Mytilus edulis: one gene and its partners. The protein of the gene in region 1 interacts with the protein of each later gene in a pairwise test. Links are inferred from orthologs where the notes say so. Each region holds a gene or a part of one and is shown in the gene's direction. Other genes may lie near its edges.

The links.
Region 2: the proteins of ligand of Numb protein X 2-like (region 1) and 60S ribosomal export protein NMD3-like interact in a two-hybrid assay, tested with the Homo sapiens proteins (3 studies listed by BioGRID and IntAct). The link is inferred for Mytilus edulis from reciprocal best matches to the Homo sapiens genes LNX2 and NMD3.
Region 3: the proteins of ligand of Numb protein X 2-like (region 1) and dual specificity mitogen-activated protein kinase kinase 5-like interact in binary tests that used the Homo sapiens proteins (3 or more experiments, as listed by UniProt). The link is inferred for Mytilus edulis from reciprocal best matches to the Homo sapiens genes LNX2 and MAP2K5.
Region 4: the proteins of ligand of Numb protein X 2-like (region 1) and E3 ubiquitin-protein ligase MYLIP-like interact in binary tests that used the Homo sapiens proteins (3 or more experiments, as listed by UniProt). The link is inferred for Mytilus edulis from reciprocal best matches to the Homo sapiens genes LNX2 and MYLIP.

The regions. Positions count from the first base shown.
Region 1 is NC_092350.1:40,601,285-40,609,582, reverse strand, and holds the start of ligand of Numb protein X 2-like, read left to right. Parts: upstream 1-4,702; 5' UTR 4,703-4,840; intron 4,841-7,514; exon of another isoform or gene 7,515-7,521; 5' UTR 7,522-7,561; coding exon 7,562-7,893; intron 7,894-8,298.
Region 2 is NC_092355.1:7,239,406-7,247,307, forward strand, and holds the start of 60S ribosomal export protein NMD3-like, read left to right. Parts: upstream 1-4,225; 5' UTR 4,226-4,318; coding exon 4,319-4,362; intron 4,363-7,167; coding exon 7,168-7,302; intron 7,303-7,902. UniProt on the Homo sapiens protein: Acts as an adapter for the XPO1/CRM1-mediated export of the 60S ribosomal subunit.
Region 3 is NC_092347.1:75,251,301-75,259,417, reverse strand, and holds the start of dual specificity mitogen-activated protein kinase kinase 5-like, read left to right. Parts: upstream 1-4,347; 5' UTR 4,348-4,397; coding exon 4,398-4,499; intron 4,500-8,117. UniProt on the Homo sapiens protein: Acts as a scaffold for the formation of a ternary MAP3K2/MAP3K3-MAP3K5-MAPK7 signaling complex.
Region 4 is NC_092348.1:310,466-318,886, reverse strand, and holds the start of E3 ubiquitin-protein ligase MYLIP-like, read left to right. Parts: upstream 1-4,873; 5' UTR 4,874-4,992; coding exon 4,993-5,079; intron 5,080-6,447; coding exon 6,448-6,638; intron 6,639-8,421. UniProt on the Homo sapiens protein: E3 ubiquitin-protein ligase that mediates ubiquitination and subsequent proteasomal degradation of myosin regulatory light chain (MRLC), LDLR, VLDLR and LRP8. Activity depends on E2 enzymes of the UBE2D family.

The DNA.
Region 1 (8,298 bases):
CTAGTCAGAAGGTAGGTCCATTTATTCATCCACTGACCTGTTAAAATTATGATTCCTATTAGATATATAGCCACAGACCAGATATGATTACCACCATCTGTCCAGTGTAATTGTCAGACGGTAGGTCCATTTATTTGTCCACTGACCAGTAAAAAGTTTTGTACATGTATATCTATGTACTTATAGTCGCCAGACTGATTTTTCAGATAACATACACAAATGTAAATAAGAGTATACAAACTGAATGCCGTAAATAAAAAAAAAGCCAAACGGTATATTAAAAAAAATCGATATATTATATGCTGGTGCCTTCAGAGAAACCAACTTTAAATTAACATTAATTAAAATAAAACTTCATTGGATTTATTTCAGCTAATAGAAAAAGAAGAAGAAGAGGTAACACGAGAGTCAATACCCCTAAAGCTTTTTATCTCGTTTTGATATTTCGAAATCTCGTTAATCCGACATGCATACCGGCTCCCGTTAATCTGACACTTTATTTTGTTCTTGTTGATATTCGCCCTTTCAAAATATTCTTATAACACATCCAATTTTTTATGGAAATATTCTTTATAAAGCACAAAGGTGTCAGTATTCACCTCAGAAACTTACAAAACTTTTGAATAGACTTATTAAGAAGGGATATAATTACGATACTGTTGTCAAGTCATTAAAGATTGCATATTTTGGCGTTAATATTGAGTCACTGATAAGGTCTTTGCATCGGAACTAAACACATTTATTCTAAAAACGGTTGTTGGCATGACACGGGTTATGTTCTTCTCATATATGTTATGATGGTATGATACTAAACCCCTAACGGGAAGGATTGTGCCTGATGTTCATATGATGAAATCATAATCTTTCAGTCAGTTTAATTGAAGTCTGGAGCTGGCATGTCAGTTAACTGCTAGTAGTCTGTTGTTATTTATGTATTATTGTCATTTTGTTTATTTTCTTTGGTTACATCTTCTGACATCAGACTCGGACTTCTCTTGAACTGAATTTTAATGTGCGTATTGTTATGCGTTTACTTTTCTACATTGGTTAGAGGTATAGGGGGAGGGTTGAGATCTCACAAACATGTTTAACCCCGCCGCATTTTTGCGCCTGTCCCAAGTCCGGAGCCTCTGGCCTTTGTTTGTCTTGTATTATTTTAATTTTAGTTTCTTGTGTACAATTTAAATTAGTATGGCGTTCATTATCACTGGACTAGTATATATTTGTTTAGGGGCCAGCTGAGGGACGCCTCCGGGTGCGGGAATTTCTCGCTACATTGAAGACCTGTTGGTGACCCTCTGCTGTTGTTTTTTATTTGGTCGGGTTGTTGTCTCTTTGACACATTCCCTATTTCCATTCTCAATTTTATAACACCTACATTAATACAAATGACTATACGGATATAAGAAGATGTGGTATGAGTGCCTATGAGACAACTCTCCATCCAAGTCACAATTTATAGAAGTCAAACTATACATGATTATGTATTTTTTCTTCATTTGTTTCTTCATGTCTGTGAGTAGAAATATTTATATGTACCTTCATTTCAATATATATAGGCTTGTAAAAATTCAAAGTGCTTATGCGCACTGCCTAAAAAGTTTAGATTGCTTTTTTGCATCGAACTTGAAATCAAGCATGTAGTGAATTGAAGTTACTTTCCTTTGTGCATAATTGTAACATTGTAGATTCATCAATGCACAATGCAAAACTTTTTTCTAATAAAACTGTTTTCTTGACTGGTTGTTCAAATATATATCATTTTGTAAACTTTCATATCTTCATAATATATCAATAAAGTGCATGAAATCAATATTGCCTGGATATTTTCTATAGAATGGTCACTTCACTGCTCTATATTACTCTATCTATATATCAAATGTAGTAATAAACCCTGGAAGAAATCAACATTTTGCAAGCCACATACGGGGTTTCGATTGTTAACACAAATGCGATTTTTACCCCGCAAACAAAATACAGAAACGAATTCACAACGTATGGCCGAAACGACTATGCCCGAACCGGAAGTGTTGCCGTTAAAACGTCTTGCATCGGGTTCATGTAGTGATCCCTAACTCTTGGCATATGTCGTGCAATTCATTTCCTTAAAACGCCATTCCTTTTTTAAGCATCAAAGAACAATTTGTTATCATAGAAATGTTTATAAATATTCATAAGAAATGTGGGTGCATTAAATTTACAAAAATCTCTAGCTCACTGAGAGCTCTTTATAGATGATCCTATTTCATTTCAAAATTTCTACCTATAGATTCATTCTTATTCTCTTTTTTTCAATTCTCGTTCTGTAGGTCATTGAAATATTTGCCAATTGACTTTGAATTGTCGTTCAAAGTATCAATTACTCGGCCCTTATTCTCTGGTCAATCTGTTAAACTTTATAGTATGTAGATGTGGTATCATTGCCAAAAGGACAGATATCCACCAAAGTTCAAATGAAGTGGGTACCACGGTAATTATTAAGTCATTATAAGTAACTACTTTGGCTAGAGGTATAAGGGGAGGGTTGAGATCTCAAAAATATGTGACCCCGCCGCATTTTGCGTCTGTCTCAAGTCAGGAGTCTCTGGCCTTTGTTAGTCTTGTATGATTTTCAAATTTAGTTTCTTGTGTATAATTCGGAGTTTGACGTCCATTATCACTGAACTAGTATACATATTTGTTTAGGGGCCAGCATCTCTATGGTCGGTTTGTTGTCTTTTTGACACATTCCCCATTTCCATGCTCAATTTGATTAATTCGGTCTTCAACAATGAGAAAACTCGTAACTGACCCATAAAGTTTGGATATGTTTTTATAGCTTTTAAAAGATATATGCATACCTGTCAACTGACCCGGACTCTGCGGGTGTGACCCGAGATTTTCACAATTCTGAGGGATCACCCGGATCACCCGCCGGGTCATTGAAATAACCCGGAAATTCCGAAAATGACCCGATTTCACCCGTATTTCTTTTGAAATACCGGCAAATTCGTAATTCTTCCATAAACATGCAGTTCATCTAGCTATGTAAACTGTCAAATTAAGTGCATGGCTTCACTTGACAGCTTTGGTGTCAAACACACTGTTGATTAACACCAATTACCTTAGCTTTAGGTCGTAAATAAATTGCCCTGTTGTTTTACAAAGATATTTCAACTAAGAGTTACTTCCCCTTATTTGTCACCATTCAAAATTATTCATTATATTTACGTTTTATGGGTGAAAAAGATTAAAATCATAATAATATAAAATTCAAATACATATTGAAAAATAACTTTTCATTATTTTTATACCTTTATACAATTTTTAAAAAAAAGTTGAAAATTATTTTTTACATTTATACTTCCTTTAACTGTATTACTATATTTTTTCATAGTCTAATTTCCTTGGCAATTGAGGGAGGGCTGTATAGCCAGTCAAGGTCGTTAAAAACTTCCATTTGTTGTATTGAGTGATGAATGTTCATACATGTAATACCTCTACATGGTATGTTCAAAGGCCAGTAGTCTCATTTTAAAATTACATTTGAAAAATAAATTTTAGATGTTGACAAAAAGTAAATGACATAAGACTGTGATACACAAGTTAATAAAAATCTTTAAAAGTATAATGAAATATTAATAAATAAGATATAAAATGACTTAACCAAGGCAAGTGAACATGCATTGATGTTTTGGTATCTTTGATATACATTATAAGAAAATGTACCATAAATACTGAAATTCAGCTCGAAAAAGTTCGTACGCGTTATGACCTGAGATTTGATTCTTCAATGCAGGTCATGACCTGCATTTTCATCATCACAGGTTGACAGGTATGTATATGTTAGTGCGTCGCTTGTAACACTATATGTATTTGGTAGTTGTGTTTGTTTATTTTCAGTCGCCTTGAGCCGATTTCATTCATTTGTTCGTTCGGCCGTTCGTTTTTGAGGGTCGTAATTGGGGTAACTTCATGACGAATAACGGTAAAAATTCTTGCCAAATGACGTTAACGGTAACTTTTGGTATATATATACATGACGATAAAATGTACACTTATTTTAATCAATTTGACGCTAACGGTAGCCGAAATGACTGTTTGACGCCTGACGTTAAAGGGCATTACTAGTTCGTTTATTCGGCCTCGTTCGTGATTGATTTATTCTGATAGATTCATTTATTCGTTCGTTCATTCATACATTCACGATTGATTGATTGGTTGCTTAATTGATTGATTGATTAATTAAAGTTGATTGATTAATTAATTGATTAATTGACTGATTGACGATGATTTACCATGTGGATATCATAAGGAATTCGTTCATTCACTCAACTGTCTATTCCGTTTTATCTTTTTAATCATCGTGTTTCTATTTTACTGTAAACTATTTTATTTCTTCATCTTTTCCGGATTTATACGTGTTTTAATTATTTGACTCTAAACTTAGGAACACCAACAACTGGTTCCCTGTCACAAATCGCAGTTTATTTCGGGAAATAAAACTTAAAAACCAGACACCGCAAAGCATTAGAAAAAAATATATTCCTGATAAAAGTAGAGCTTGGAGTCATACAGTTGAATTAACATTATATATACCGTTTTAAACAGTGATTTATACATTTTTTACCAGCCAGCTTTTACAAATAAAACAGTTTTGTTGATAAAAAAAAAATAAAACTCGGCTCTCTCTAGATCTTCTCAGTACATAATGTGAAAACCTTCGGAAGTTTGTTTATTCTGAAAGCATATTGCATGAATCACCAAAAATAGATTTCACATCAAAAGACAACAATAATATACACACAAAAGCCACGCCTAATTTTCAGATCAAATGGAAAAGTTGTATAATTTTATTCAGGTATATGTAATGTCTGTTATTATTGTTAAAAGTTGCTGTAATTATATATTAAAATACAGACTAGTCTGAATAGAAATTTATTCCAATTTGCGGATTGGTACATGTTCATTTTTATGATTGATTCTTGCTTGTTTAACATCCAGTAACAAATGACAATTCAAAACAAACAATGCCAGCAAGAGTTTATTGCAGACCTGTTGCACAACTCCAAACTAATGTTGATGTCTTTGGAACTACAAAGGAATGTCCAAGGTTGTGAGAATGGTTAAGCACTAACAGACATGTTTTAGTTTACCCAAACACTCTTTTAATGTGCCTGTCTGCATCCAGAAGTCTGTGTTCTAGTGGTTGTCGTTGGCTACTGTGTGACGGTAATTGTTTTTCTTTTCTTCTCCTCATTTGAGTTATTTTTAGTATGGATGTTGAGTTTTCACATTTTTCCATTAGGAGGTATCCTGTAGTTTGCTTTATGGTTCCAAAAAGAAACATATATACATAAGGAATCTGAGAAATGAGAATTTGTAACAGTTGAACTACAATCTTTATTCATTTTTATGCCCCACAACTAAAAGTTCTGGGGCATATTGTTTTACCCCTGTCTGATCGCCTGTACTAATTTCCACCCGTCTGTCCCAATTTAGGTATATAGTTTTCACTTTGCTGGCTTTTTTTACATATTTTTGAATGTGTTCATGTGGTCAGGGTTTTGATTTCTACATGCTATTTTGGGAGATAGTTGAACTTTGTCATCTTTGGAGTATACAATGTACATGTATACTTGAATAAGAGGTCCTCCTACAGTGAAAAATAAACCTATGTGCTCCATTGCTCACTTTTGTGTATTTTAAAATTAATCTTTGGATCTGTGGGGGCATCATTTGTGTTTCTCAGACAATAATATCTCAAAGAAAGTCTCACATTGACTTAGTTATAATACAGTTACTTCAGTGTGGAGTGTGGGGGCATCAGTTTGTGGCCAGTCTCTGATATGACATGAAAATTTTACAACAAAGTCTGTAATGCCTTTAATGGCAGACCAATATAATATATGGTTTTGTTTATGCAATATTTCACATTTTGTCATGTTGAAGTCTTTTATAGCCATTATAGCTAGCTTGCTAGTCTGTACCGGTATTAGTTTTGCTCATTGTCAAAATGTACATGTAGTATAAGTATGGTCAACGCCATGATTGTTCAAATTAGTTTAATTATATTTTACACTGCAATATGTAATCAATTATCATGATTATAGTCATATATTAATTGCCATCATTTTTCACAATGAAAATTTAAATGTGATAAATGCCTTCTATTTATGATTTAATAAAATTAAAAACTTCTTTGAAATTCATAATTGAATGACTGTTTTGTTTGCCTTATAGAAGTGTCAATGAAAAATTTTGTTTGTGTATATGAATAACTGTGTGAGACATGTTCTCATTTAATGCATGTTGATAAATTTCAGTAAAAGAAAACATTTAAAATGCATGAAACAAAAAAGATGTGGTACGATTGCCAATGACACAACTCTCCACAAGAGACCAAATGACACAGAAATTTTAAACAGCTATAGGTCATCATACAGACTTCACCAATGAGCAAAGCCCATACAGCATGTATACAGTCAGCTATAAAAGACCCTGAAATCACAAATTTAAAACAACTCAAAGGAGAAAACTAATGGTCTAATTTATGTACCAAAGAAATGAAGGAAAAAAAATATGTGACACAGCAACAAACGACAACCACCGAATTACAGGGTCTTGACTCAGGACAGACACATACATGTACAAAATGTGGCATGGTTAGAGGGATCCCAACCCTCTCCTAACCTGGGACAGTGTCACAGTGGTGTAACCAAACAACATAATAACGAACTGTTAAAATCAGTTGAAAAAGTCTTACATATAATTCATGAGATGGATACAATAACAAATAGGGAGATAACAGTGCATTTTGGACTTAGATGATGTAAAAACTCTACCATCCTAACATATTATTTATGTCTTTAAGGCTTTATACCATTCTTGATTGAATGATGTTGCTTGCTAAAGTTATAGTGGCAATTATTTCATGCAATTTCATTACACTTCAGTCAATGAATGGCTGTATATATATAACAAATGTTTGTACAACAATACCATTTTACTGTGTCAATAGCATGGTTCAACACAGAGTTTTGCTGCTGCATAAATAGATGAGCAAAAGTTACTTCCCTTTGACCTTTTCTTTAAAATAAATAATAATGTGAACAATGAGTTTTGAATTTGTTTTCTGAATGGGCAACCTCATTCTTGAAAATATTAAGTTTTTATCAGATTAGAAAATTGTGTCATTATTGATTTGTGAAGGTCATTTTCTGTTATGTATTTTACCATTGCTGATTAATGACTTTACATGTACATGTAGCAACATTTCATTTTAAAATTAAAACTTTTTGAGATCATAAGAAATGTATCAGAATTTCATGTTCTGAATAACTATAATTAAAGCAGGCAAAACATTTCAGCACATGAACTCTTGTTTTTAAAAAAACTTTGAAAATTAATTTATTTTTTGACATACAATATGAATATTTATCAAATAATGGATGTATTTAATTATAGAAGAGTTATAAGGTACAATGAAGAAGTTTCTGTTGATACATACTTTTAAGTAACACATTTCGTATAATTTTTCAGAAGGAAGAATGAGCTGACAATCTGAGACGAGTGTAGTAGCATGGCCCTGTCATATCATGACTATGAAAATGATTCTGCTTTGACCTTGACAGTCAGCCAATTCAGAAATCAAGGACAAACTGTGTGTCCAAACTGTGGGCAATTCCATGAAGGGGATGGAAACCATTTGTTTGACTACTATCAAGCTGTTGATGAAGATTTGATGTGTCACATCTGTCTTCAACCTCTAGTTAATCCTGTGGACACTAAATGTAGTCATACATTTTGCACAAAATGCCTAGAGAATTACCTGTGTATACAAAACCAGTGTCCAGTAGACAGACAGCTGCTGACCAGAAATGATTATCAGCAGTCCAGTGTACTAGTCAGAAGGTAGGTCCATTTATTCATCCACTGACCTGTTAAAATTATGATTCCTATTAGATATATAGCCACAGACCAGATATGATTACCACCATCTGTCCAGTGTAATTGTCAGACGGTAGGTCCATTTATTTGTCCACTGACCAGTAAAAAGTTTGATTCCTATCAGACAGTGACCAGTTATGAAACCAAAAGTACAGTGTGTTAAGATGAAACGGTCAAAAACATAGGTACATGTATGTACATGTATACTGTCCTTGTACACTGCTTTCATAGAGCTGACCAAATGTACGAAAGGAAAAATCTTGGAACAGCCAAGCAAAATACAGAATTTCAGATTTGTTTTAGTTTTAAGACATCTAAATAACTTCATGATGTACTTGTAATGAACAGTTCAATCAATGCCTTTCAAAT
Region 2 (7,902 bases), on another chromosome or scaffold:
TTTTCTATATATGCACATACTTTTTCTCTATATGCACATAGTTTATTTTATATGCATATAGTTTTTCTATATATGCACATAGTTTACTTTATATGCACATAGTTTACTTTATATGCACATAGTTGTTCTATATATGCACATAGTTTACTTTATATGCACATAGTTTTTCTATATATGCACAAATATATTTTATTTTGGTCCAGGGGCCAAAACAAGAGGCCCAAATGTGTCTAAGTCATATTTCAGGCATGCCTCATGTCCCTGGAACTACTTCTTCATTGTTGCATATGAGTGTCCATCATCTGTAGATGTGCAATAAGTAATTAAAAATAGTAATATTTCAAAACAATGTGGGGTGCGGGTATTGATGTCGTTCCGACAGCCCTACTTCTAGTTGCAATTAGTTTTAGCACCGTTGGGGCTTTGATTATAATTGCATATTCCTGTTAGTTGCACATTTTTGGCCAGGTGAGCTTTTGTCATCACTTGGCGTCCGTCGTCCGTCCGTCCGTAAACTTTTACATTCTGATCTTCTCCTCTGAAACCCCTGGGTCAATTGAACTGAAACTTGGTATGAAGCATCCATGGGAGGTCCTTTACAAAATTTGCATAAATCATCCAGGTCCGTTAAAAACAAAATGGCTGCCATGAGGATTTACATGTTTTGATTGGTTGAAATTTAAAACTTCTTCTCCTCTGTAAAAGTAGAGCCAAATGAACTGAAACTTGGTATGAACCATCCATGGGAGGTCCTATACCAAGCATACCAGGTGAGGTTACAGGCTCACCACTTGAGCCTCTTGTTCTATAACAAATTGGTTATGTGATTAAAAGGAATCCACTGTATACTACTTGACTTTGACCTCATAAAACATTGCAAGTGCCAAATATGTCTTATTTCCATATTTATTAAGTTCACAGAAGACTTAACCCGTACATGTATTATTATACTAAGCTCAAAGTGTAAATGCTTTATGCATTACAATTTACATCTACTTGTTCATAAAATGCAATCTTTTTGAATGAAATTTCATGTCATTTTTATGCCGCATCTTTGCAAATACAACAGCTTTTGAACACTTTGCAACACTAGTCCATCATTATATATAAAAGAACTGATAGGGGGAAAAAAACACATGATATATCATCCCACCACAGAACAGCACAAGGACATGCACAAAACAACAGCCAAAGGTCACTGTAGTGGTCTTCAACAATGGCATCACCTACACTACCAAGTGAGTTCAAGCAGGCTCCTTACAAAAAGTGCAAGCAACTAGACATAAACAACCTGGAAGACACAGCGACAAAATGACCCCATGAAAACAAAACAACAAATAAAAACAAGACAGCCACTGAACACTGGATCCTGGCTTGGGACAGGCACATAAAGTATGTCAAGGTCACAAACTCTTGTAACTGGGGGTACCTTATACGGAATAATTTACTATTTATGTTGATGGGTACGTGGGGTAGCCCTGTGTGAGCATTGCATAAAATACCTCTAGTTTTACTTTTATAACTACTACATGTCAATATGTTCTGTAATCAGAACCTGGTTTGAGACGAGCTATGTAATGCTAGATTGCCTATATTTTGTGGTTGCTGGTGAATAATAGAGAAAAGTTTAGGTACTAAGTTATCTTAACTGTTGATAAAGGTGCAGAATCAATACAAAATCTTCCTAGTACCAAAAACAATATTATGTCTTTAATCATGCTAAAACAACAACAAAAACTATGTTTTACTTTAAATCACATGTAATTTTAATGATTTTGTTAATGTTAATTATTTGCCGAAATGATCTCCAAAGACTTTAAATAGTCATCAATACCAAAGTTCTCGCCTGATCGATTCAATTCATTATTTAGGATCTCCCTACATTGTTCATTTATAAGATTTAAGGGTTGAAAAATTGGCCTTTCTCCATCTCTGGTAGCTTCATTGTTCTGTTCTCCAACTCCTAATTCTGGTAATTCCGTCTCATTCATTTGCATGCCAACTGGGTTCTGAACTTGCCCTGAGCCCCAAAGCTGCAGGGGAGTAGCCTTAACGGTCCTTATTCTGTGACAACCCCATGCTGTAGACCACACATTCAGTCTTCTGTTAATTTCATCCTTGAAATTATAGTGCAGCGCTGCCAAATGTAGATCAATTTAAGGGGTCAAGGATATCATGATCCTCCATGTAGTAGAAAAGATTATAAAAATAGCACAAGACGCCTTCAAAAATGTCCCTCCAGAGTCTTTCGATCCGTTGATTATGTGTACTGGGACCTGTGATCATGCCGCTTTCACCTCGTTCCGTCAGCATAAAATCTGCTACAGAAACATTTTCCCGTCCCTTGTCGGATCTTACTTTTAATGGTATGCCATAATTATCAACACCGGTGAGGAAGCTTTCCAACACAGTTTTAGAAGTGTTATTGTCATTACACGAAAGAAACATAATCATCCTACTAAACCCGTCAATGCCACCAATTATTACAAACCGCCATCGAATTAGTTTATGGTTGGTGTCTATGTGCCACAAATGGTTAGGGGCCATTACGTTATAAGTTCTCCGATGGAGACGACCAGCTTTCCTTGCTCGAACTCCAGACGAATCTATTTCATGAATGCAGTCCCTTAGTCGCCATCGTTGTATTTTTAAACCCTTCGTTCTTAACAGTTGTGGAAGCATTTGCTCGCCACACATTGGGAAATCTTTAATGGTTTCCGAAACTACTCTTTCCAGATCACCATCGTCTATTTCTGAAAAGCCTTGTTTTGACAATCCAAACTGAGCCATTCGGCGATATATTGTGCGCTCTGATACTCATAAAAGTTTTGCAATATCGGATATTTGGAATCCACAATCTAACAAACTGTCTAATGTTAATTTATCAATATCAAATTTTGGTGCTCCAGAGTATCCTCCTATTTTCTGTGGTTTGGATTTTCCATATTTTACACATTCTGCCCGCAATCTCATCATGTCGGTTGCGTTTGGAATACCTAAAAACTGCAAATTTTGTTTTGAAAGCAGACTTATTATATCAGGAGTTATAGCTTCCCGTTCAAAACTTTCGTAAACTTCTTGCCTGAAATATGACTTAGACACATTTGGGCCTCTTGTTTTGGCCCCTGGACCAAAATAAAATATATTTGTGCATATATAGAAAAACTATGTGCATATAAAGTAAACTATGTGCATATATAGAAAAACTATGTGCATATAAAGTAAACTATGTGCATATATAGAAAAACTATGTGCATATAAAGTAAACTATGTGCATATATAGAAAAACTATGTGCATATCAAGTAAACTATGTGCATATAGAGAAAAAGTATGTGCATATATAGAAAAACGATGTGCATATATTGAAAAGTATAAGCGTATCTAGAAACAAGTACACATAAGGCAGTTACGGCGTTCCATACATACGCGTACGGTTGGACCGCATGAGTATACGCGTACGGTCCAGCTGATGTTTTGGGATCACATGGGTTAAACTTAAACAAATATTTGTTTTACATGTATGAGGATAAAATGATTAAGCAAACAATTGAAATTAAATACGTGTTTATTTGTATATGCGTAAATTCTATTTTGGTACTCAAGGTGACACTGACTTCCACCACAGACATATATACACATGTGTATATATGTCTCTGCTTCCACTAAGGACGTCATATTTTTTTTTTACAGTAACATAATTTGTTCATGCACGTTGCTTTGCATTTTTTTTGTAAAGTTCCTTAATATTCTAAAACGATTGTCCTCTCAGTCTTAGTTTACTTCCGATAACTTCAATTTCACTTAGCATATACTTGGCTTCAATTTATGAATTACTGAAAAGCTAAATACAGGAAATTAACAGATTAAATCAACGTTATATGTATAACCAGAGACATATAAACACATATATATGTCTCTGGTATAACCGACTTTAAATAAATCTTTTATGCTTTATAACGTGATTTTTTTAAATCGTTTTAACATTATTTTGTTTTATTTCATTTACTATTGAACTTATTACATTAATTTGAGATATAAGTTTGTATGTTGATCAGTTATATACATTTGTATCTGATAAACGTGACCAACTTCTTAATATTAGTCAGACCGTACGCGTACGGTCGGACCCAAATACTCTAAGTCTTATGGTCTGGAACATATATATATATATTCACGAAAGCGACAGACACGGAAATTAAATCACCGTTTTTCGACTTGAAATTTACTCTTTTCAAAGAATTTCCGGTCAAACGTCATTTCGATTTCACCACATGGTCACAGATTTAACATCTAAACAACTGTTTAGAGTTTATCGTAATGGAATACACGTTTGAAAGTAAACCGGGTACTACCGGATTTATGTAAGATAATTGTCAGAAAGTCTCAAGATCAATATTTTACTTGATCATTGACATAATTTGGGTTCTGTTGTAAACTGAAGTGATGTTTGTTGAGCTTTCTTAGATCTTCATAGGGTTGTCCCTGTTAAAAATTCTTTGTACACAGTAATTTTCCGATTTTGCCTCTAGAGGTGATCAAGTAAGAAAATCAGAAAAGGCACAGAATAACCCCTCTGCAGGCCCGTAGCCAGGAATTTAAAAAAAAGAGGGGGGGATACTGGAATACAATAGGGCTCTTCACGGTTAGTTCGGCCATATTGGATAGGGGGCAGATTTTCATATTAGAGGTAAAAATGGTGTGAAAAAAACGGGAAAACATCATTAAAACAGAGCTGTTGCTTGGAAACACACATAGGATTTCCCACACTTTCATACTATTTCCACCTCCTTCCAAAAAATCTGCCCCCTATCCAATATGGCCGAACTAACCGTGAAGAGCCCTATTATACTCAATGTTTCACTAACAGCTACAATTCCAATAGTGTCGACTTTAACAGTGCTTATTTGTTTAAAGGGGGGGGGGGGTCCGGACAAATCCCTGGCACCCCCTGCTACATGTGCTCTGTGTACATTAGATCTAGTCCAAATAATTATGACATCTGTCAAGGCTATTTTATTTTTTTCTGGGAAGCCTTAGAAAAAAATTAAATAACCTTGCCAGACGTCATAATTAATTGGACTTCATTAGATCCAGAGACTTCCAGATACTACCTTAGATTGGTTTAGTAGCATTTTAATAGACTGGTTTAGAATCTAGACAACTTTTATCAAGGACATATAACTAACATATATATATATTCATGCTTTCATTAATGAAATTTTTTTATTTTACCAACTTTTGAAGCTTGAGTTTATTTTTTTTCCCCCCCGACTAAGCATTTTAAGGTTACCAAATCTTTGATATGACATCCTGATAAGTAAGAGCAACTGAAAGAATTTAAATAAAGCTTGTAATACAGTGCTCTAGTTAGAAATCAAAAGGGGCAGGGTGCCAGTGGAGGGCAGGGCACTTTTTATGATAAGAAAAGGCACTGCTCATTTTTTTGTCTACGTTTCTGTGGGTATCACGAGTTAACGAATCTCTCTTTTTTTTTTTTTACTGTATATGTTTTTTTTTTAAATAAAGATGCTTTTCAACTATAGTCTTTATTTCATTGTTTGTGTAGTTATGAATGATATAGTACATCTTCATAAACATGTTATGTTTATACAGTTTAACTTCACTCTACCCATTATCAAAGAATATGTGTTTTTTTAGCTATATAGGAATTATAGCTTTTAATACATCTTAAAATCAGAAATTGAGAGCATTACTAATTTAGCAATGTTTAGAACATGGATTGCTAAAAGTATAATTATCAAGTAGAAATTGCAATATATATTTTTTAATATGTTCAAAGACAGTTAATATCTTCAAGGTAACATTATTATGTTATTATATATTCAATTGGTAATTTATTCCTTTTTTTGATACTAGATAATATTTTTAGAGCACAAATTTGTAATAAGCTAAAACAGGGGAAGTAACTCCAAAATCAATTTCCACCACGTTTGGGTTAATTAAAAACTGTGCTTGTCGCTAACAAGTTGAGATGGAAGGCATTTCTGTAAAGGCATAGTTTTATTTTGATGACTTCAATTCAATTCTAAATTCATGAAAGTCTTCATTTATATACGCTCTTCCATTGTGACTTGGAGATCGAAAATGCCGACCCAAGCTAAACACACTCGCTGACACATTCATCAAAAGTATGACAAAAAGATACATTGTCCTAATTAAATTACCTAGTTATTAACACCTTTGAAGTCTTTATCATTGTACTTGATTGTAATGACATGATTAAGCTGGGGGCAATCACACAGGTGTCATATATGTAATTAACTTGGAGATCAGAAATCGATGAAACAAAATTTTACCAAAACGGCACAAGATAATTTTGGAAAAAAGACGTCAGGGCAGAAGGGCGCGGATGAAGGCACCCAGGGCGCGGCTGAGGGCACCCAGGGCGCGGCGCCCTTCTATTTAGGGCTAGCGAGACCACTGTAATAGGTACTATTTTTGGGGAACATTTACTGTTTCATGATTATACATGTACATGTCAAAATCATTGGAAAACAGCAAAAACTTTCTCTTTTAATAGTTTGCACCGATTATTTTATTTGATTTGACTTCTAATGTTTGCTTTAACCATTTGTTAACTTGAATTAGTACCATGCCAGCAGTCACTGCCAGTCAGAGCTCAGGCATAAATAAGTCTAAATTTGATTTTGACTCTATCATCTTGGTCTTTATTTTTCTCCCTTTGATTTAAGACAAATTATGACGTGTAATGCAAGTAAATATTTGACCTGAATTAAAAAGTTGCTAATATTGACAGCTACAAAAAAAAAATTCTCTCAAATTTTTTGCTAGAAAAGGAGGAGGGGGATGCTGACAATGTAACTGGTAACAGTGTGAACTATAAAGGTCCAATGTTGGTATTAAATAAAGGCAACAGTAGTAAAACTGTATACCTCTGTTCAAAACTCATAAATCAATAGAAAAAAACAAATCTGGGCTACTAACTAAAACTGAGGGTAACACATTAAATATAAGAGAACAACGTCACAACATTAAAACGTAACACACACATTAACGAACTAAGCATTAGACAAAATCCGGAATACACTAAGTAACTTACTCTTGCATCATTTAAAAGATTTAAAAAAAACATTATTTAAGTATATTAATGAAGAAACATATGAAGTTTCATTTTTTTGTTGCAGATTATGTTGTCAATGTGGGACCCAGATAGAACCAAATCCTTCCAACATGTGTGTAGCTTGTCTTAGAACACAAGTTGATATAACAGAAGGTATTCCTAAACAGGGGGTGTTGTACTTCTGTAGAAATTGTGAAAGGTTTGTATTGTATTAATAGATATATCATAAGAAAATGTGGAATAAAGAGACAATTCACCATGAAAGTCACAGTTTATAAAAGTAAACCATTATAGATCAAAGTACGGTCTTCTGCCTTTACTCACACAGAACAGCAAGCTATAGATGTCCCGAAAAATGACTAGTGTAAAACCATTCAAATGGGAATACCCAACAGTCTAATCTACATAAAAAACGAGAAACAAAAAACACTTATGAACCATATGGACCATAATTTGGTATTCAGCCTTTGGTTTCTTTTTGTATCCTTTTTTATAAGTTCTAAAATTTTAACTTTTATTTTGTGGGTTGTGTTGGTGTTAGAATAGTATGAATGGAACAATTGAGTTTTTCGAGAAAAAATTAATACATCATGTACATTTTGATTCACCGTTTACGTGACATGAAACCAAACAGGAAACCAATCTTTATTTTCTTTATTTTGCACAATATAATTCAAAAGGCATAAATAAACACCATTACCAGTGTTACTTGCTTCATGTTAATATTTAAAATCTATTTTCAATGTTATATTAATGTTTTTTTTAAACCTGACAGGAAACCATAAGAAACCGAAAGCAT
Region 3 (8,117 bases), on another chromosome or scaffold:
TACTGCGACGAAGATGTTTAGAATCGCACGGACTTAGAAAAGGCGCGAAATCAAGTGCACCTAAGTAAGCCAATCAAAACGGTTCAATGTTTGACAGGCACGGTTTCAAATTAACTGTAAATCTATGGGAGCAACCATTTAACTTCAGGGGGTATTTTTTATGAGTCCCAAATCTTTTTTACGTGCAAAGCGCAAACATTTTTATTTAGTTTTTCGACGGCACGCTTCCAATCAATTATATTTTTCAAAAGTTTAAAACACTATTTATAAGGTAACGGAAAAATCTGAATTCAGAATATTTTTTTAATTAAGTACCCGAAAACAAGTTTTGCAATAGTATTATTGTATTCGTGAAATATGCGAAATTATCAAGTTTCGAAACACTTTTATTACTGTATACATAAAGTAGTAAGTTATTCAGAGTTGGACGTCACTGTTGTAAGCCAGATGAAACTCTATGTTTGCTCTCTCCTTGTGCCTTTATTTGGTGAATAAAGATATTTTATTCTGTGCTATAGTTCTAAAAAATAGACATTACTACTTGAGGTATTATTTGCTTTCGTAAGAATTCAGTATGAGCAATTATAGGCGTTTGGTGCCAAATTTGTAAAATTGCACCTAAAAAAATCCGGAACAGACTGTCAATGCAAACATACAGCTTTATTTATGATGACAATTTAAGGTTACTAATAACTGATTGATTGTTCAATGTTTAATATGCATTCATTTTCCGGTTTAAAATCGACCATATTTTAACTGGGAAGAGCACTTCGGACCTTTTGTGACAGGGATGAGCATCTGATACATCCAGTACCCCTACTTTCTTTTATTTATTTAGAAAATAAAGAAAATAAAAGTCTGTCAATATAAAATCTTCATTATCAACTAATATTATGGAATTAAATTTACATGTATTATTCTCTACTCTTTGGTGGGGTTGTTGTTTCAATCATTGGCACATTTCAGTATTAATGTCAAAAGAAGGGGGGGGGGGATTTTGATATCTTAGTTAAAAAAAAATTGACACATCTGAAATAATTTTGATCTTTCAAAAGTTTCCATTTTCAGTAATTAGATAACTTAGTTAAAATGTTGATAGAGATGGCCAATTGATGTACCTATTGTTTAAGTATCAGAGCTATTTTTCTATGTGTACAATATTTTTGGAAATTTCTGTTAACTATATATATGAACCATTACACCTTATCTACTTTATGCAAGCAGTTATTTGTCAGCTCACTAAATGGTATAATAGTATCAACTTTTTGCCGAATTAATGATTCATATATGTTAACATAAAAAATAAAGAAATGTGGTATAATTCCAATGAGACAGCTACCCACTAGGGACCAGAGACGAGAGTGTAAACAACTATAGGTAAAAGACGTACTGTGACCTATAGTTGTTATTTTCTGTGCCAATTGGTCTCTTGTAGGGATATGTCCCATGAGCAATCATACCACATCTTCTTTTTTATATAGGGAACTGTACAGTCTTTACAATGAGTAAAACCAATGCTGTATGGTAAACTACCGTGAGCCTCGAGATAACAAAATTTGAAATACTTCAAACGAAAAACACAACGCCCTATATTATCATAAAACAATTGGCACACGGCAAACAAATAAGAAAGACAGAAATTAACAACAGCAAATGACAGGCTCCTGACTTGGGACAGGGACAAAAGGAATAACAGGTTTGTGAAGGCTTAACCCTCTCTAAAACTGGTACAGTGGTGACACAGCACAATATGAACAAACTATGAAATTTTGTTGGAAAAAGGCTTTACTCATCAGATTGGCATTAATGTCGTTAATCACACACACAAAATAATTAAAAGGGAAAATACTCAAAATTACTAAAGCTAGTTCAAAACCAATTTCAATTAATGGATAACTTATGTTCTCTGCTGTCGATATGTAAGGTGATTCGTTTGACCTTCTTCTGTTTCTCTCTCAAGCCCAGCAATCAATCGCCAAATCTCTTTTGCCGTAAAAAATGAATTCGAAGAAATGAACAGTTCAAGTAATCTTATACTATTATTGTTTTTACTGATTTCACCATTATTATACATTGATTCCTGTACTATAGCTATTTTATTTATATTATACATATGCTTATATAACTGAATTATGATGGATCATTGTCATTCCTCTCCCCCGAGAGACCTTTAAGGCTTAGTACACATATAACACTGCTGTATTACATTGCATACTTATATTATGTATATGCATGTACGCATGATATATGCATTTGTAGTCTTTTTAAGGCCAGTCAGGTCATAAAGAAAAGATAAACTGTTGTAATGACTTTAAGATCGAGAAATTGAAAACAGCTGGCAAAAGTCCGCACATATAATTACTTTAAATATACTTTCAAATATGAGTAATATGAGTATTTCAAATATAAAAAAGACAGGGGAAAAAAATTAAGTTAGAGTTAAGAAATTGAGTTGTCCCTCTTTGTACTGGTTATGGACCTGTTAACCTCTGTGTATTAATTCTGAAAAAAAAAAATAGTTTTCAATGTTTGTTATTAATCTAATCAGTATATATATTAGGTTGCATGTGATGTATGTCTGTATATTGTATGATTTATTATTTTTATTTATTGATTTATATTCTCTAAATAAGAAAAACAGAATGTTGATTTGATTTCTGATTTGATTTAACATGGTCCGGCCAATCAAGTTATTATAAGCGGTGACTCAGTCACCCTTTAAGCCTGCCAGTAATATATGGGAAGACTTATGATATTTTAAGGTAGCATTAAACCAACCGGGAGACAATGTGGTTTTATAGACATCTAAATGATCCTAAATGACTGTATCAATGAATATGACAATAAACCAACGCAGGCGTCCCACTCATGGCTTGAAGGAATATATATGCGATGGGGTTGTACGCGAATTGCGTAATCCTCTCTAAATCTTAATTGTGGTATTGCATGATTATCTTTAAAGTATACTCGCCTCTAAAAATTTATATACCTACAACCTCTTACATTATTAGTACCGGCTTCTTTAGAAACTACATTTAAGTCTTGAATAACCGCATAGTCATGACAGAACTCTCTCTTACTTTTAACAGTTTATTATTTAATCCTTTTTGCCGATAAGTTGTGGATATATATATATATATATATATATTGCACATGTATTTTATTAACAATATATAAAAATAGTTCTCCATTTTGAACACTCAAAAAGAATAAAGTTAAGGACCGATGCCTTCTATTGATCTTATAACTATTTGGACCACGAAAACTGTATGATCTACACAAAAACATACGTGGAATTTATCCCAGAGGATTTGTATAGTAAGACTGGTATCAACGAGGACTATGAGAGAATCTTATCGTGTCTTCTTCGTAACAGTTTACTAGTGATATTGATCTCTGTACTTCCTACTGATTTCAGTAAAGCAACATTATAGACCGCTCGGAAACAGCCTGGCAGCATGAACTCTAATGCTCATCTGTCGTGAATGTTGTTTCTACTCCTCTTGTTGACACCCTACGTATCAGTTACTTCAGAATGATAACATACAACGCTGAAAATTCATAAGACAAAATGATTTTTTTTATTGGTTTCAAATCAAGAATTATTACAAAAATTTCACAATAATTTACATATACATATACACACATATCCATATAGATTTGTTAACATTTATATATGTATATACATATACCATGGACTCTCCATGATTAGAAATGCATTGCTATAATATTTGTAAAATCTAGTCTCTGCTTAGGAGTTGCGTACCACAAAATTATGTCATTTATTATTCAACTATGTTATACAATGCAGCCATATGTATGTCACTGAATAAATCTACCACTTGACCGAATGGAAAGTTCAAAATAAAAATCATGGTGAAACACAATCTATTCTCCATATCAGCTGGGACTAGTATAATAGTTCCAGATATATATAAGAGTATAACAAAATCGGAGTTCTCAGTATGTTTTATAATTAGATTCAGGGGTGGGGGTTGGCAAAAACATTTTTTCATGACAAATGACAGACATGACATGTTTAGAAACAACACATATAGGAGGTACATTGAGCCTTTAAATGCAAGATTTTATAATTATTAATAATAATACATAAAATTAGCAAATGTAATGTCTTTTCGCGGACAGACTTGTGAACAGTCTGGATTTAAACATTTTATTCTGATTAAAAATAATTTTCAACCTTGTACTATGTGATATTGCTCTTTTTAAATATTTTTATTAATTTAGAAGCGTTATTTTAAACGTGAAAAAAAACACGAAATAAAACAAAAGGATAACATCGGCTCTCTCGAAACTGTAGGTCACAATTTATAACGTTTCAACTTGTTGCTTATCTCCCTTTAAAAGTGAAATTTTTTGGGAAGTAAACAGAGAAAATGGCTTTGCAGCCAACATTTACTGTTCGAATTCGTACAGAACAAGAACAAGATATGGATTGGATGGTGCAACCTGATCAGATCACATTTAATCAGGCATTAGTGAGAAAATCAATCTTACAAAAAACAACATGATGATAAATTAGGCTCTCAAACTGTAGTTATACCATTGTTTACAATGCTTTTCTTTGTAAATATCACACTGATTTACCAAATAACACTTTGAATTTTGAGAATCTATATATAAATATATATCTTTTTATTTGTTGATGAGAATAACGGTATACATGTGTATATACAATGATATAGAGAAAAAAATATTTTATATCACAAGCTGAAGCAAGTGAAGGATGCAAATATTGTACAAGGACATTTAAGGTGTGCTAATTTAACTATAATGACATCCAACAATAAATATTTTGATATATGTCAATAGTTTGATAATGACAACAACTGAGAAATATTTTAACCAGTAATACATATAATTGCAGAGAAACTGACATGACCTCCCTTTCCAAATATTACACCTAATAAATTCTGAGTTTTTGAGGTCTTAAAAATCTATTTTATTTCTTAATGTGTCCTGGCCTAAACTCTGCTGGAAGTTGGTAATCAAACCTCTCGTGCAGTGACACAGATCAAGACTTTTATAAAGGGGCCCAGGGAAGGGGGACTGATTGCCAATAAAGGGGCCCACTCCAGTCTCCAGTCATACGTTGTACTTCAGTTTTTCCCTACTTAATCAACCAAACTTTTCCCCATAAAAAAGAGGGGGGGTAAATATGTCTCTGTCGTGAACAACTATTGACAAGGGGGTTATATCTGAATTCAAGACATCAAGTTAAAAAGCAAAAAAGAAGGGAACTCTTTCCTAATGTCTAATATACAAGGTAATTACAGTTTTAATCTGATTTTTGATTTTGAGTCTTTAATAAATAAAAAAAAGATTGCATACATTTTTTAGTGGAAGAAGACGTCAAGTCTTCTGAAGACTTAAGGGGCCGACCATTGGCTTTGAGTCTCCGTATGCCGCATTCATTTCGTGTATTACAATTTCAAGACAACTTAGATTCCTGACACCGATTTTTACACATGATTGGGCATCTGAATCATTTAATTTGTAAATTATGATTGTAAAACAATCACTATCGTAAATATGACCCTTTTATTTATGTAAATTATTAGATTTCATCTCATCCACATGAACGTAATTTGTTTACTTGTAACAGGATGTTTTAACTGTAGATATTTGTATTACGCATGCGTGAATTTGGTATCGGTACAACTCGCCCTGTTTACAAGTTCACCCTTGAAGTTACGAATTTGCAATCCTGCAGACAAGAAGATTTTATTTTTATATAAATAAAAAAGATATATAAAGTGTTATCTTTATTCATGGGTTTCCTTTGTCATGTGAATTAGATGCCCTTCGTAACATACATGTGAACCTCCCGTTTAGGAGAAAAAACTCCTGTGTATGAAATTTTTCAGACGCCATATTTGATCATTTCTTACTACTGTACGGGTGTAATTGACACCTGTGTTAAATTTTACCTGAACATCAAAGAAGATGTATAATTATATGGCTTCACTTGACAGCTTGGGTGTCAAACATACTGGTAATCAACGATGTTTACCTCCGGCTAACTGCCGTTGTGTTATCAAAACGATGTGTATTGGGAATATTGAAATACTTTTTTGTTACTTCCCTTTGTTTTATCCTGTTTTCAGTTATTTTGCTTTTAAAAATGTAAATGGTAAAAAGACTATAAATGATTAATATTTTAATCAAATAATCATAAAAGGATGTTAATTAAATGAATTTAAATGATTTTGGACAAATAAAAAAATTAAAATTTATAAATTATTTTATTAATTTAGACCTCCTTTCAAGGATTAAATTGAAGTTTATATATTAAATTTGTTTAGTTAGAAGGCAACATACAATATTTGCAACTAGGCTAATAGTCTAGCTTCTGCTAGCTTCATGTATAATTTTTCTACCGATTTAATATATAACTAGAATTATGCAAACAGACTTAAGGAAAAGGCATGTAAGTCATGTAAGTTCATACAAATATGACACTTTTTCTAGACAATCCAGATCTTGCAAAATACATCGCTAAAAATTGTAACCTTTAATTTTGTTGTTGTGCAGTAAAAACCCATATGGGAACTTTCAAAAGTTGGCAGGTATGTAACAAGTCTTACTATTTTTATGCTCCATTTATGGGCAATATGTTTTCTAGTCTGTCCGTCCGTCCTGCTTCTGGTTATAAAGTTTATGGTCGAGGTAGTTTTTGATGAAGTTGAAATCCAATCAACTTGAAACTTAGTACACATGTGTTCCTCTTGATATGATCTTCTTAATTACTGCCAAATTAAAGATTTTACCTAATTTTCATAGTCAACTGAACATAGAAAATGATTGTACGGATGGGAAATCCATGTACTTATGACCTTTTCTTGTTTGAAGAAAAAAAATACATTTTAACGATAATGGAACAAAGCAGCCTGGGTAAGTGGGGCTGCTTTTATGGTAATTCAAGTTACCTTTTATTCACCTTCTTCCACTTCAGAGCTATCAGCTCTTTGATTAAATGCAGGGGCGGATTTGGGCGGGGCGGATATAGTTCTGGTGGCGGGCGTGCGCCCCCCCCCCCCCCCCCCTAAAATTTGCAAAGCATGGGTTGTCCGCACGTAATAAGTATCCGAAGAGATGACAAAAGCTAGCCTAATGTCGTCGCATTCAATCTGTTTTAACATTCAAACAAGTATTACTATATAAAACAGTAATTTAACAGAATTATTTAACGTGATTACTAATCAACTGACCTATTGTCTAAGTTCTATAAACATGTTACACTTCAAAGGAAGGTGTCAAAAGCGGTACTGCGTTTGATGACAAATATCATAGGCTTTCAGCAGTAAGAATAAAACAATTGTGACATTGTAGTTGCAGTTTTAATAAACAATTTCTTTGATAATCGAAGTTCAAAAACATCCCTACATCACTTTCCCACGAAGAAGGTGGAAGTGCCCTACCCGCTATTTGGGTTATTTCATCATGGCACGACCAGGAAAGCAGTCTAAGTTAGATTCTTTCTTAAGGAAAGATAAAGATTATGGTTCAAGCGAGAGTTTAGTTTGTTAATTTGACTCATTATTTAATATCTCTGTGACAATATATGATTCTCACTTGCAACATATAAAATTTGCCGAAGCATGCATAAACGAAAATAAGCACAATTTTTTAAGGATCTCATTTTGATTTTAGTGGTTAGCGGCCAATTTTTTTTTACAGAATTGAAAAGTCTAGCACGACCTCCGAAAATAGAACAAAAATAAAAACACGTATTATGAATTGACAAATAAATTGTACTAGTAATAATTTTCGTTTTCAAAATCTTACATTGGTCAGATGAAAAATCGTCATTTGCTTTGTCTCACTTTGCGTCTGTCGGTCCGCCTGTCTATCTGTCAACTCTTCACATTATGGTTAATGTAGATTGTCATTAAAATTATGAGGTTTTAGATTGAAACTTTAATTTCTCGCTCATTTTACCACAAATGTTTCTCGCCACACTTCGCTTGGCAAGATATCTATCTACATTGCACCCACTCTAGAAGAATATTTCAATAACTTTGATTATTTTAACCTCAAAAACATTTTTTATTCTGCGCCCACCCTAACGTCTAATCCTGTATCTGCCCCTGAAA
Region 4 (8,421 bases), on another chromosome or scaffold:
TGGACATTTCAACTGACCCCATAAATCACCAGGCGTACTGGATAGTTCAACTGACCACATAAATCACCAGGCATACTGGACAGTTCAACTGACCACATAAATCAGACATACTGGACAGTTCAACTGACCACATAAATCAGACATACTGGACTGTTCAACTGGCAAATAAATCATCAGGCTTACTGGACAGTTCAACCGACCACATAAATCACCAGGCATACTGGACAGTTCAACTGACCACATAAATCACCAGGCTTACTGGACAGTTCAACTGACCACATAAATCACCAGGCATACTGGACAGTTCAACTGACCCCATAAATCACCAGGCATACTGGACATTTCAACTGACCACATAAATCATCAGGCATACTGGACTGTTCAACTGACCACATAAATCACCAGGCGTTCTGTACTGTTCAACTGACCACATAAATCACCATGCATACTGGACTGTTCAACAGACCACATAAATCACCAGATTCACTGGACAGTTCAACTGACCACATAAATCACCAGGCATATTGGACATTTCAACTGACCATCTAAATCACCAGGCATCCTGGACTGTTCAACAGACCACATACATCACCAGGCTTACTGGACAGTTCAACTGACCACATAAATCACCAGGCATACTAGACAGTACATCAGACTACATGAATCGCCAGGCTTACTGGGCAGTTCAACTGACCACATAAATCACCAGGCTTACTGGACTGTTCAACTGACCACATAAATCACCAGACTTACTGGGCAGTTCAACTGACCACATAAATCACCAGGCGTTCTGGACTGTTCAACAGACCACATAAATCACCAGCCATACTGGACTGTTCAACTGACCACTTAAATCACCAAATTCACTGGACAGTTCAACTGACCACATAAATCACCAGGCGTTCTGGACTGTTCAACTGACCACATAAATCACCAGGCATATTGGACTGTTCAACTGACCACATAAATCACCAGACTTCCTGGGCAGTTCAACTGACCACATAAATCACCAGGCATACTGGACAGTTTAACTGACCACATAAATCACCAGGCATACTGGACAGTTCAACTAACCACATACATCACCAAACATACCGAACATGTCAACTGACCACATGAATCAACAGACATACTGGACAGTTCAACTGACCACATAAATCACCAGGCATACTGGACATTTCAACTGACCGCATAAATCACCAGGCGTTCTGGAATGTTCAAATGAACACATAAATCACCAGGCATACTGGACTGTATAACTGACCACTTAAATCACCATATTCACTGGACAGTTCAACTGACCACATAAATCACCAGGCATATTGGACATTTCAACTGACCATCTAAATCAACAGGAACCCTGGACTGTTCAACTGACCACATACATCACCTGGTTTACTGGACATTTCAACTGACCACATAAATAACCAGGCATACTGGACAGTTTAACTGACCACATAAATCACCAGGCTTACTGGACTGTTCAACTGACCACATAAATCACAAGACTTACTGGGCAGTTCAACTGACCACATAAATCACCAGGCATACTGGACTGTTCAACTGACCACATAAATCACAAGACTTACTGGGCAGTTCAACTGACCACATAAATCACCAGGCTTACTGGACTGTTCAACTGACCACATAAATAACCAGGCATACTGGACAGTTTAACTGACCACATAAATCACCAGGCATACTGGACAGTTCAACTAACCACATACCTCACCAAACATACTGAACATGTCAACTGACCACATGAATCAACAGACATACTGGACAGTTCAACTGACCACATAAATCACCAGGCATACTGGACATTTCAACTGACCACATAAATCACCAGGCATTTTGGACTGTTCAACTGACCACATAAATCACCAGGCTTACTGAGCAGTTCAACTGACCACATAAATCACCAGGCGTACTAGACAATTCAACTGACCACATAAATTACCAGGCATACTGGACATTTCAACTGACAACATAAATCACAAGGCTTACTGGACAGTTCAACTGTCCACATAAATACCAGGCATACTGGACATAACTATTTAGCTTAGCTGTTTTTCCCCCTCCTGTTCTACTTTCATTTTCAAAAAGCATTTCAACTGACCACATAAATAATCAGGCATACTGGGCTGTTCAACTGACCATCTTAACCACCAGGCATCCTTGACTGTTCAACTGACCGCATAAATAAACCAGGTTTGCTGGACAGTTCAACTGATTACATAAATCACCAGGCATACATGACATTTCAACTGACCACATAAATCAGGCGTTCTGGACAGTTTAACTGACCACATAAATCACCAGGCATACTGGACTGTTCAACTGACCACATAAATCACAAGACTTACTGGGCAGTTCAACTGACCACATAAATCAGACATACTGGACTGTTCAACTGGCCACATAAATCACCAGGCATACTGGACTGTTCAACTGACCACATAAATCACCAGGCATACTGGACATTTCAACTGACCACATAAATAACCAGGCATACTGGACAGTTTAACTGACCACATAAATCACCAGGCATACTGGACAGTTCAACTAACCTGTACAGTTCAACTGACCACATAAATTCAACTGACCACTTAAATCACCAGGCATACTGGATAGTTCAACTGACCACATACATCACCAAACATACTGCACATTTCAAATGACTACATGAATCAACAGACATACTGGACAGTTCAACTGACCACATAAATCACCAAGCTTACTGTACAGTTCAACACACCGCATACACCAACAGACCACATGAATCAACAGACATACTAATTACATAAATGACCAGAATTATTGGACGTTTGAATAGATCACAAAAATGACCAGAAATACTTGACAGTTCAACTGACCTCATCCTGTACCTACCCCCGACTCCTCAGACTTTAATTACTATGACCACTTTTACGTATAGTTTACCGTGCAAGGCTTACTGGGCAGTTCAACTGACCACATATTAAGGCCGTTAGTTTTCTCGTTTGAATTGTTTTTACATTGTCTTATCGGGGCCTTTTATAGCTGACTATGCGGTATGGGCTTTGTTCATTGTTGAAGGCCGTACGGTGACCTAAAGTTGTAAATGTCTGTGTCATGTTGGTCTTTTGTGGATAGTTGTCTCATTGGCAATCATACCACATCTTCTTTTATATAAAAAATATGTTACAATAATTCAATTTACAAAGGCAATAATTATATGCGGTTCTTCATATTTCATAATCCGACTTGACTGAATGTCCAAACTTTTTTTGTTGACTTAGGACGATGGTGACCGGTTTATTTAGATCTTGACATAATGCATTATCTTTTGGTCAATCTGATTAAAACTCTGATCCGGCTTACTGTAACTCGTTTGAAGCATACATTTAGATACAAATAGCTCGATAACAGATCGTAATTTGAACAGAGTTCAATTCGTGTATTTGTGTCGTTTTGTTGCTGTCTCATTGATATATACTCAAACAATTATCTCAATGCATAATGATAACTAAGTCAGACAGTATAAGTTCCTGATCTGAGACTGGCACATTTAATTAAATAACGTGTTTTTGATGGTCATTTTTATTCTTCTGACAGTTTTGACTTTTCAAACATTTACTACACTTTACAAAATCTTATTAAACATAAATTTTAAATATTTTTATTTATTAAAAATTGTCGTTTAGTAAATCTGAAAGCCTTCTTTTCTAATGAGAAAGGTAAATATGCGGATGCATACTTACTGGAGGTGTGATCATGATTGAAGCTGTTATTTTCGTGTTTGGCCGAATAACTAAAACATTGTTTTTGAGACGGATCTTAATTAGGTTCTATCATTTTCAAAGCTCTGAACACAGTTTTAGCTCCCAGATCTGTACTTGTATCTTTTTGTTGTTGGGATATACAAGTACCCGTCACGTTCACTCTGTGTTTTTGTTCGATGTTTTTTTTTTGGTTAAAATTTGTATCCATCTAATGAGTTGAGCGTTTTTCAACTGATTTTTATAGATCATGCGTTCTAATATTAATGGTGTACTGTTTCACCACTGTCCCGGGTTAGGAGGGTCGGGATCCCGCTAACATTTTTAACCCCGCCACATTCTGTATGTATGAGCCTGTAATTCAGTGGTTGTCGTTTGTTCCTGTGTTACATATTTGTTTTTCGTTCATTTTTGTACATTAAAATTAGGCCATTAGTTTTCTCGTTTGATGTTATTTACATTTGTGATTTCGGAGTCTTTTATCGCTGACTATGCGGTCAGTATGGGCTTTACTCAGTGTTGAAGGCCATACGGTGTCATAAAGCTGTTAATTTCAGTGTCATTTGGTTTCTTGTGAAGGGTTGTCTCATTGGTAACCATACCACATCTTCTTTTATAAAATATCTCTGAGTCAGTGAGCCGTTTTTAAATCGACTGAAATAGAAAATAAATACCCACATACAATTTTGAACAAACAGTACATAGTAAGATACCATAGATGACATGTAAACGTTAAAAGTATAGTATGCAAAATAAGAATATGAAAGACATAGCACAAATTAGACTGAATAATAGATCATAATACTAGGCACACGGCAGATAATAAAGTTTAACTTTTATATTCGCATAATATATGGTATTTTTGAAAATCAATTTGAACGCAAATGAAATATTTTATAGTAGCAATCATAGTTGACTGCAATAAAATATTTTATAGTAGCAATCATAGTTGACTGCAATAAAATTCAGTAATACCTGGAAATAGTATATAATATAGATGCATTGCAACTATTTGTGACATTTCTACACGTGGTTGGATTGTTGATGTTTTTAATGTTACCGCCTTATCATTATTTTGATTGGATAAGGCGTTCGCGCAGAATCTATGCTTCTAAAATGAACCTCGGTCAAAGTCCATGTGATCAACGATTCCAAATATAGCAACACGTCCAAGAGATGATTCTAAGAGAAGAAATGACATTTTAAGCGTAAAGAAGCATATTTGAACAAAATGATATTTACAGTAGTGTTACCGAACAGTGTTGTGATTGAAATCGATGTGGATATTCGAGCGAATGGACAAGAATGCTTAGATCAGGTAAGGTCGAACGTGACCTATATAAATGTATTCCACTCTCTCTGGAGAAAACTTAGAAAATTTCCATTTTTTCTGCAATATTTGTATAATAAATTAAGTGTGGTTTGATGATGATTATAAGGAAACTTGTTATATATGCAAAAACGTAGTCTGCTTTGTAAAATTGCCTTTGACAAAGGGAAAGTACATAAAAATCGAAGATGGCCATGCAGGGTCCAAAGTCCAATCTGTGATCGGATGTAAACAAAGGATCAATCAACCCGTAGCGGTTACCTGTCAAAATTACCATGTATGTTGTAATCATTATAGTTGATTACATTTCTAAGAAATTTCACCCGAGTTCGTAGATTTGTTTGTAATAGACTAATTTCTTTGTGATTGACTGAAGATGGTTGATGCAATAAGAAGATTTGACTTTGATCAGCTGACTTGACAAAAGAAAAATCAATACACAAAAGTATAAACAAGTACATGTGTAATGGGTTGTCCTATAAAAGAGAAATGGGTTTCCGAAACTGAAAGAAACACAAGTTTGCAACATAAGATTTAAAGTCAAGATATGAAAAGATAATAGAACAGAAAAAAATATTTTATTTTATACATTTTTTATCATAAACATGATAAAATAATTGTATTTTTAATTTTTTTGACCAAAAGATAAAAACATCTTTCCAAGTGAATGTATATATTCTTAAACGTGCAACCTATTTTATGTATTGATTAATTGTGTAAATTAATTTGTTTAGTTTTATAAATATCAATTGTATGACCAAAACTGGAATAACCAGATTCTTGTGAGATAATTCGGAATTGTTTACAGAATCATTGATTTTTTTGACAATTATTTTTTCTTCCAATTCTGTAAAATCTCTGTAAAATCTTCATAGCAGTTAATTTTTTTGGCATTGTGCCATGCATTGCAAGGTTAAATTGTGGTAGTGCTGGTCATTGCCAAATTAAACTTTCTTTTAGCTTTCCTCAGTATTTTTTTAGGTGCAAACTATATATGGACAGGGAGACACCGTAATTACATTAGCCTCCTTCTAATGATGATTAACATGTACATGCTGTTTCTCAGTTACTGAACTGTAGTAACATTGAATATACTAAAGTACAAGTAGAAAACTAGTTGTTCTTACAAAAATACTGGGTAGAAAGTAATTTGATTTATGGAACCTAAATAGTTCACACAATGCACATTATCTGAGGTTGTAACTGTGTAACAGTAAGTAATTCACAAACTATCTCTGTAAACACATGTATCTAGCCAGCCTGTGGACAATTATAATTCAACAGTATTTAGATTACCTCTATTTCTCTCCTTTCAATGTTGTAATGCATTCTAATATATTTATTTTTGTTAATTAGGTTTGCCAGCATCTTGGAATCCTTGAATATGACTATTTTGGCTTACAATTTAGTGGCAGTAAAGGAGAAAAAATTTGGCTGAACATGAGGAACCGAATTAATCAGCAAGTGTCTGAAATGAGGGCTCATAGATTTCATCTCCGTGTCAAGTTCTACATACAACCCCATCTTCTGTTACAGGAATCTAGCAGGTAGGTTGTCAACTTGGCAATACATTTTGGACCCCCTTTATGTATGTCTATGATTATTTTGTTGACAGGTCCACTGGGGTTCATGGTCAAAAGGCAGTCTTTCCATTGACATGCATTTTACAAAGTTTTTTACAAAAATGTATCAGAAATTTATCAACTGTTTTTGGATTGAAAGCAACATTGCAACCATTTGCCTATAATTTTCATCTACAGTATGTGACAATTCATACATGTATATATACATGAACTGTACATGTCAAAGCAGCTATCTTCTCTGTACATCAAAACAAGTAAAGGTTTTTAGTTGTATATGTCCTATATCAGCATAGTCTGTTTGTATAAGTTCAGGTTGTCTCTTTGATGGGGAATAGGTAAAATTTCCAAAAAAAATAATAAGACATTCACCAGTAGAAACTCTCATTATACCACTCAAGTTTTTCCATGTGTCTCACTGGTTGTTCTTGTTGGTCTATGGTGTACTTAAATTGTCCATCTGTCACCCAAATCTGGCCATGCTTGTGAAGTTGTGGTCATCAGACTTTAAGTTCCTTTCTTTGTCAAATTCTTAATTCAGTCACATCTTCAGTTGCAAGAATCTGGGACTCTACATGGTTCAAATGTACATTTGTAATATTTGGCCTTACTTAATGGATCTCACCCCTATCAAGTTTTACATAAAACCAAATTTGAACATGATGAAGATTAGTTTATCATGTTTATAGAAACTGTTAGTCTTGTAATTAAATATCAAATGAGGGGTAAATTCTACAACCTTATTTTATGAGTATGACACATGATTGTGATGTAGTACTTAGGTGGTTTGTGATTCTAAAGTCCAACCGGTAAGTGGTGCTTATCCCTATGTCAAGTTCTAAAACGTCCTTTAATTTTAACTATACATGCTATATGAGTATACATGTATGTCACAAAATGTACATGTGATGTACTACTTAGATGAAGCTTGTGATTCTTTGTGAAGTCTAATTTGGTACTAAAAATGTGTCAAGTTCTATGTACAGACAATTAAGGTAAATCATTGGTTGTGGTATGAAGTCAGAAGACATCCACTGATTATTGCTAATGTAATATCTTAATAAGTCAGACCTGACTACAAACAATGAAATGAATCTGTCTTCAGAACAAGATATTGACTTCCAGTAGAATATTTCAATCATAGATTGTACACCTAATTATCTGCGGTATAGCAGGTACTATAGTGCTTGTAGTTAGTTTTCTTGGTAACTGACCCTGATGTAAATTTTAAGTTATTCATACATGTAGAAATAAAATGTTTAATCTAATATTGTACTATAATATTATCAGAATTTAAATTAAAACATTGGGCAAATCATGCCCATGTCATTCTATGTAGGTGTCTTCTCTTGTCATGTATTGTTTATCTGTCATGGTATATATCATCTATATATACCTGATGAAATTTCTTCCTTGAAGTGACATAATTATTATTTAAACACCTTACAAATTATTGGAAAAGCCAGTATTTATCATCAATATTCATTTTAAATAATAAATTAAAACACAAAGACATATTATATTTAGACAGATACAGGTAATCCAGGTAAAAGAAACATCAGTCAGCCATTTTTAAAAAGTCAATGTTTCAATGGAGTTGACTGAATCAAAGAATACATGTACTTACAATTATAGTACTGCGTTTGATTAGTCAGTGCCCTATAAATAAATGTACATGTAGGTGACTGACCCAAATCATATCAACAACAAATCTTTATTTTAGAGTAGGTTACATTGTTCAAAATGGTTA